2 linked regions of the Coturnix japonica genome follow. The protein of the gene in region 1 interacts with the protein of each later gene in a biochemical or structural test. Links are inferred from orthologs where the notes say so. Each region holds a gene or a part of one and is shown on either strand. Other genes may lie near its edges.

Region 1 (4,056 bases):
AAACCTACTTTGGTAGTCTAGTGCTACATGATCTTGCTTTGAGATCTGTTGGGAGTACCCTTGCCTGAATGCTTGGTGATATTTTTCATTTAATACTAACCAGCTTTATTTATTGGTAGCTTTGTTTGCAGTCCCCAAAAATTACAAGCTTGTAGCTGCACCGTTGTTTGAGCTCTATGACAATGCACCAGGATACGGACCCATTATTTCCAGCCTTCCTCAGCTTTTGAGCAGGTACGTTGTGTTTGCTTGCACTGTGGTTCTGGGAGCCCGGGCCTTAAGGCAAAGCAAAATAAATCACTTTTGCTGTGTCAGGTGGAGGCTGCTCAGGAATAAAAACGTTTGCCTGTTCATGTTCCAGAATGTCAGTTAATTAAATGGAATAGAAGTCTCTCACTTGGTGTAACTCTTCCAATTTTAGGTTCAACTTTATTTACAACTGAGTTCCTGTCCAACACCTGAGGAATCTGATTGAAGAAGCCGTCTCTGTGAGCACAGCTTTATGATGTAGAAAAAAGAATGTGTTGACTCGAGGATTTCATTTTTGTTCCTTTCCCGAAGGCCACTAAGATTCTCTTGTATGAATAGAGAAGTGAATCTCAGCTGTTTAGGTAGCAGGATGGCAGCGTGATGTCAGTGATTTTATCACTTTCCATTGTAATACTCACCAGTTTTTTTTGTACGACATTAAACGAGATGGAACCGACTGGTTGTCTTTTGTGGAGTTTGTTCTTCCTGTAGTTGTCTTCTAGTTGGAAGAATGCGACTGAAACTTTGGAAGTACACGGCAGATGCTGAAAGCTGCTGGGGGAGGTGGTGCAGCCAGTGCCTGGAGGTGCTGGAGAGGAGCGGCACTGAGGGATGTGGATGGTTGGGCTCCGTGATCTCAGAGTCTATTCCAACTTAGTGATTCTGGATATTTTATGTAGCTCCAGGACTGACTGTAGGCGCTATAGCAGCGCGGTGTGCAGGCAGCAGCTCCAGGCACGGTGCCTCTCCGTTCACGGGCAGCCGTGCGAGCACCTGGCTCTTGTTGCAGCGTTCCGACAGCCCAGCCGGCCCGCACCGTGCGCCCGGCGCTCCGTTCTCTCGCTGTTACCCGGGAGCGGGGCCGCCGTAACCCCGCCCAAGGCCGCAGGGCCGCGCCGCAGCTCTGGGCGCCGAAGGAGCGCGGGCCGCGCTGCCGGAGTCCCGCCCGGTGACTCAGCGCGGGGCGGTGCGGGCCGAGGGGCGGCGCCGGCGGGCGGAAGGGCCGCAGGAAGCGGGGCCGAGAGGCGGCGGCGGCCGCGGGGCTCCGCGATGCCGCTCCTGTTCCTGGAGCGCTTCCCCTGGCCCAGCCTGCGCACGTACGCGGCGCTCAGCGGCCTGGCCCTGTTGGCCGCCGCCTTCAGCGCTCAGCGCGCCCTCAGCGCGGCCGGCGAGCAGCGGGCGGGCGGGCCGCGGGCCCTGGACGTGGCGTACTACCTGCTGTCCGACAGCCTCTGCGTCTGGGTGAGCCGGGCCGACGGGGGCCGTGGTGCTCTGGGGGCCGTGGTGCTCTGGGGGCCATAGTCTTGCTCCGCGTGCCGACATGGAGGCCCTTAGCGCCAGAACGTGCCGGGCCGGGTGAGCGGCTCCTCGGGCAGCGGCAGCTTTGTTTGCCGGGCGTTCTGCCGGGAGGGGTTCGCGTTTCTAGAAAGCGAGATGAGCGATCGGCCCGTGTCGTACGGAGGGCAGGGTTACGTTTCATCAGAGCTGCGCGGCGCACAAAGCAGCCTCTGTTGGGCTCCTCTCGGAGCGGGGCAGAAGGATCCGTCGCTGACTGCTTTGTTTCCGTGCAGGTGCTGGTGAACACGGCGTGCTGTGTCCTGATGCTGGTCGCTAAGCTGATCCAGCGCGCGGTGTTCGGCCCGCTGCGAGTCAGCGAGAGGCAGGTAAGGCAGCACAGCACTGCTGTGTTTGCTACGTGGAACTGCTGAACACACAGTATAAATAAGCTTTAAAACACATTTCAGCCCTATCTCTGAGTTCTCTGTGCTGGAGTTCTCAGTGCTGAGCGTGCTGTCCAGTAGCACCATGTAGAAAACAATCTCCCCAGGAGATACTCCTGTATCTGCAGTTAGAGGCTTCCAGTGTTTTTCTGGAGGGAACTTCATCATTGTTTAATGGTATTTTACAAGTTCGGGGTCAACTTGCAAACCCTTTGTACACATTGCCAGATTTCTTACAAGCCCACCTCAGTTCAGGGCACTCACAACATCTGTTTTCTTCCCTGTTTTGCTTGTATATGGTGACATTTCTCCACTGCATTTCCCAGTTAGGGAAGTGCCAGTGTTGCTAACTCGCACGCCTTGCTCTGTACCCTGAGTGCTGCACAAGTATGGGTGCTCTCCAGCCTCAGGCATGGAGGCGATGACATGCATGTGGCCAGGACTGAAATCTCACACTGCTATTTCCTGAACTTATCATGGGTGAGAAGGTTTGTCAGAACGCAGCTAAAGGACCATTACTGCTCAGGCTTTTTAAAGCAGGATCCTGCAAAAGATAAAAGCAGCAACAGCAGTAGTTGGGATAGTAGGTATCTTAAAAATAAACATGTAAACATAGTTCTCTAGGAAAAATCAGGCTGTGATCATTTTTGGCACAGGGAGCTGTGGCACGTAATGCTTTGTGAGTAGCCACAGGTCCCTCAAAGCCTGTTGTATCTGTGGTTCACTCCCTCAGAGCTTTTGAGTGAAGTATATAACAAGCAGGTAATTCAGTCACACTTGTTTTTTGGTCATGCATGTTGACAGTGAGGATGTGGAATTTTAACCAGCGATAATTCCCAGGTTCTCTCCTCTCTTTAAAAACTGAAGTGAGAGGCAGTGACTGGATTCGTTCGTTTTTGGATAGTGAGAGTGTGCTCTGCGGGTAGGCTGGTTATCGTTGCTGGTGAACCAACACTTGTCAGCATTGGGAAGGAATTCTGGGCATGTCTGAACTGTCCTGGTGGTTTCATTGTGTTCTTTAACAAAACGTGTGGATTGTCAGTGCTCTCTCCATAGTAACTGAGTGCCTTCCTTCCTTTCTTTTCAGCATCTCAAGGATAAGTTCTGGAATTTCATCTTCTACAAGTTCATCTTCATTTTTGGTGTGCTGAATGTTCAGACAGTGGAAGAAGTGGTCATGTGGTGCCTCTGGTTCTCTGGGCTTGTGTTTCTTCATCTCATGGTCCAGCTCTGTAAGGATCGCTTTGAATACGTAAGTTTTGATTTAAGGGCTCTCTTTTGGGGTTTGCAGATTTAGAGGCACTGGGTTAGGATAGGCTGCAAGCAGATCATTTAGGCCTCTTCCCCACCTGAGGTGCAGAACAAATGCACCTTCTTTTAGCTTCAAATGATTGCTTTGGAATGCCGTGTCAATCTTACTCCTTCAGTTTTCTCATCAGACAAGTAGAGCTGAAGATATGTATTCTCTTTAATGAATTGTTCCATATATGTGCCCCATAGTTACTGCTGCATAGCTCTGTGTCTTGTCTTCATTGCTCTTAGTGGAGAAATCTGGAGAGCAGAACTTCCCTTAGAACTTAGAACCTTAGTCCCTTTGGGACTGATCTGTAAAAGCTCACTTACATCTACCCAGTGCTGAGTCCCAACATCTACCCAGTACTGAGTCCCAAAGCCTTTACGACACCCAACACAACTTTCTTCATAAGCTGTGTGCAGTTTCTGTAAATTTGGTAGGGAGACCAGAAACTGAAAGCTAGGCAAGGGTGAAACGGGACATTGGACAGTAAGACTTGTTCTTTTAGCATCTATAATGCATGCGTGTTTTCCTCAGCTCCTCCATCCTGAAATAAGAGTTTGAACTAAACTGGATCCATGAATTTCCTCCTGGTAGTTTTATAATTCCTTTATTTTGTTATTAATATCCAGTAAGGCCTGTCACCTCACAAGGAGCTGAGCACCAAACTTGAGATGAGATGGGCTGGGGCTCAGGAAATGGAGAATAGAATGAACCGGGCGGTCATTGGGTCTTGGGCTTGTTCAGAGAGTTGTAAGAGAACAAAGTTCATGTGGGGAGAAATCATTATTA
Region 2 (2,719 bases), about 1.3 Mb from region 1:
ATCCAACCTGCATCTCCTGTTAGTATAAGACTATTTTCCTTTGTCCTATCACTATCAGACCCTATAAACAGATGATCTCCCTCCTGTTCCTAAAGTTGCCCTCAACAAGGGGCTAAAGACAGAACAGCACAGCATCAGTTTTACCCCTCAGCCATTCCCAGCTCCTTCACAGCCTGCAGGAGGGCAGGGGAGGACAAGGCACTGCAGGGCATTGACCTCCTGCAGGAAAGGAAGGGCCATGCAGCCTCCACCTACAACAACAGTGCCACAAACATCAAACATCTCTGCCCTGGAGTAACCAGCCCTGAGGGCAGCACAGGGACATCAGCCTGTCCCCTGCACAAGGCCAGGCTGTCCACTGGAGCCCCTTCCCCTACCCCCGCCCACCCCATACTCAGACATTGTTGGTGGTGCTGTTAAGACTTACCCTGAATTGACCCAAAGCCTCATGGCCTTTCAATTTCAAGCAGAGCACACAACGTGCTCTGCTGTAGAGCACATGCAAGTACAGATAAGCGACCGCAGATTTTATTGAATCAAAGCCCTCAGCCACATCGAAGGAAACAAACACAACAGAGTTGCTGTCGAGTGAAAACGCCTCTACATTAAATACAGGTCTCAGACTGCTTTGATTTCATATCTAAAGCAGTCAAATCAAGTCTTGCATAAACTCTTGATTGAAGTTGAATGCACTTAACTCCTCTCCCATGATTTGAGAGCAGAGAAAAAGAAATCAGCCTTGAGTATGAAGGACGTGTTGGGCAGTTGGAAACCTGCAGCTCCACTGAGGTCACTGTGCCCCACAGCTGCCCCTTCAGCCAAGGAAATGGCACAATGCATCTCTCATAGGAAAATATTTACAAAGCGGAATTTAAAACACCATTGAAGCAATTGAACAGTAGATCTTTCCTAAAAACCTGCTAATGCTCATCTAGCAATTGAAGGTACTACACTCAGTGTAATTTAAATAGCATTTGAAACATTCCAACAGGAATCACATTGCACGGAAGAAGCAATTTGCTTCTCTAACATCTCTGCACACCTGCTCAGAGCCTGTGCATTTAGTGCACAAGATTACAATGCCAAGCCTCTACAAAGGTACCCAATAAATGCTACGGAAGAAAGTTCTTTGGAATGAGGGCAATCATCTTGTGTCTGTATTGCAACAACTTAAGGCCTCTTGCAGTTTCATCAGTGAAGGCCAGAGAAATGCCACACGTTTTCACTCCTGCTTTGGGGTTGGCATCTGATTTGCTCAGGACTGGAGCTCACTGACATTCCAGTGAAGGAAATGGTGCCACTTCAGTTGCGAGTCAGTCTGGGCCCTTCTGGAAGAAGGGATGCAAAGAAGGTCTTGAAGAACAGCCACGCTGTGCTCATAAGGGACGGGTTGGCCTGTGGCAGCTCTGGCAGAACTTGTCCAGCATCAGGAAGGGCCTCAGGTTCCTCTGCTCCGCCTGCATTCCCTCCCTGCTGAAAGGAAGAACACTCAGTGAGAACCGCTGCAGAAGTGCATTAGGGTAATTGGGTGCTAAGCTGCATCATTACTCATATTGCACTGTCAGTATAAAACCTACATAGTGCTTCTCTATTGAAGTAACCCCCAACAACCCAAGTTAAGAATATACTGAACCCAAGTTAAGAATATACTGCTTAGGACAGATGCATACATGGCTTATGTGGTCAGCTGTTTCCTTTATAGCTAATTAACTCAGCAAACACTGACAACAACCCCAAGCATTGCTGGAAATGCAGGACTCCACCTGCTCTCATACTCCAACCTGAGTTCCGTTACAGAACTTAGGCTGCAACAGGCCATTCCAACACCCAACAAGTAGAAGATAACACACAGCACTTCAGCGCCCCACAAGAGGAAGCAGGCTGGCAATGCAGAATTCTCACTGCTTGTGTAATTAATGCACAGTAAAAACCTCACTGCATCTCATGCTCATGTTGTATAAAACACAATACCTGCAAGTTATTGTTCTGGTCCTGGTTTACAGCAGCCTGAGGAGGGACGTTATCTGGGAAAGGCTGTGCTCGTCGTTGTCTAAAGGGGAACCATCCAACATGGTGCCTGAGGGAAGGCAATATATTTGTGTGGTTACACGCGACTCCTTCCTGCCACATCAAGGTAACTGAATAACATTGCATATGGGGACTAACAACAGTGCATTTCAGGAGTTGATGAAGCCATTGGCTTTCTTTCTACAAGTCCGCACATACAGAAGTGCATTTTTAAGCTGCAGTTTCAACTCTGAGGCTGACAGGAACTCACAGACCTGCACCCATTACCTCACTGGTGATCAAACAGTGTATGAGAGGACACAGACACCCCAGAAATGCCCCCCAAGGGCGGGCTATCTGTATTCTACTCATGATTTATCCCGTTTTTGCCTTCTAGAGCAGCTTAGAAGCAACTCACAACATCACTTTAAGCTTTGTGTTCTAATAACAAAAACTCACATGGCTACATGACTTACAGAGAAGAAGCAAGGCTCCCTCCCAAGATTTCAAGCACTTGTCAACTGCTTCCCAACTTTCACAGAGACGCTGTGGCTTTACACTAGGAGTTACTTTGTCTTCCAATAGTTTTCCAAAAGGAAAATCAACTACACCAGAAGAGGGGGCAAGATGATTCCCCATCACCTATCCTTTCTACTCTGAACCCAGAGGCTGTAACTGTATTTCTGCTGAATGCCGAGGTGTACCGAGGTTC

The links.
Region 2: of the proteins of AMFR (region 1) and HERPUD1, one has a biochemical effect on the other in vitro, tested with the Homo sapiens proteins (6 studies listed by BioGRID and IntAct, with this or other methods). The link is inferred for Coturnix japonica from reciprocal best matches to the Homo sapiens genes AMFR and HERPUD1.

What each region holds. Positions count from the first base shown.
Region 1 is NC_029526.1:517,822-521,877, reverse strand, and holds the start of AMFR (E3 ubiquitin-protein ligase AMFR), read left to right. Parts: upstream 1-1,237; 5' UTR 1,238-1,299; coding exon 1,300-1,491; intron 1,492-1,820; coding exon 1,821-1,913; intron 1,914-3,057; coding exon 3,058-3,222; intron 3,223-4,056. Other genes in the region: NUDT21 (cleavage and polyadenylation specificity factor subunit 5), read left to right, coding at 120-234, 422-443. UniProt on the Homo sapiens protein: E3 ubiquitin-protein ligase that mediates the polyubiquitination of lysine and cysteine residues on target proteins, such as CD3D, CYP3A4, CFTR, INSIG1, SOAT2/ACAT2 and APOB for proteasomal degradation.
Region 2 is NC_029526.1:1,857,922-1,860,640, forward strand, and holds the end of HERPUD1 (homocysteine-responsive endoplasmic reticulum-resident ubiquitin-like domain member 1 protein), read right to left. Parts: intron 2,078-2,719; coding exon 1,972-2,077; intron 1,474-1,971; coding exon 1,303-1,473; 3' UTR 507-1,302; downstream 1-506. UniProt on the Homo sapiens protein: Component of the endoplasmic reticulum quality control (ERQC) system also called ER-associated degradation (ERAD) involved in ubiquitin-dependent degradation of misfolded endoplasmic reticulum proteins.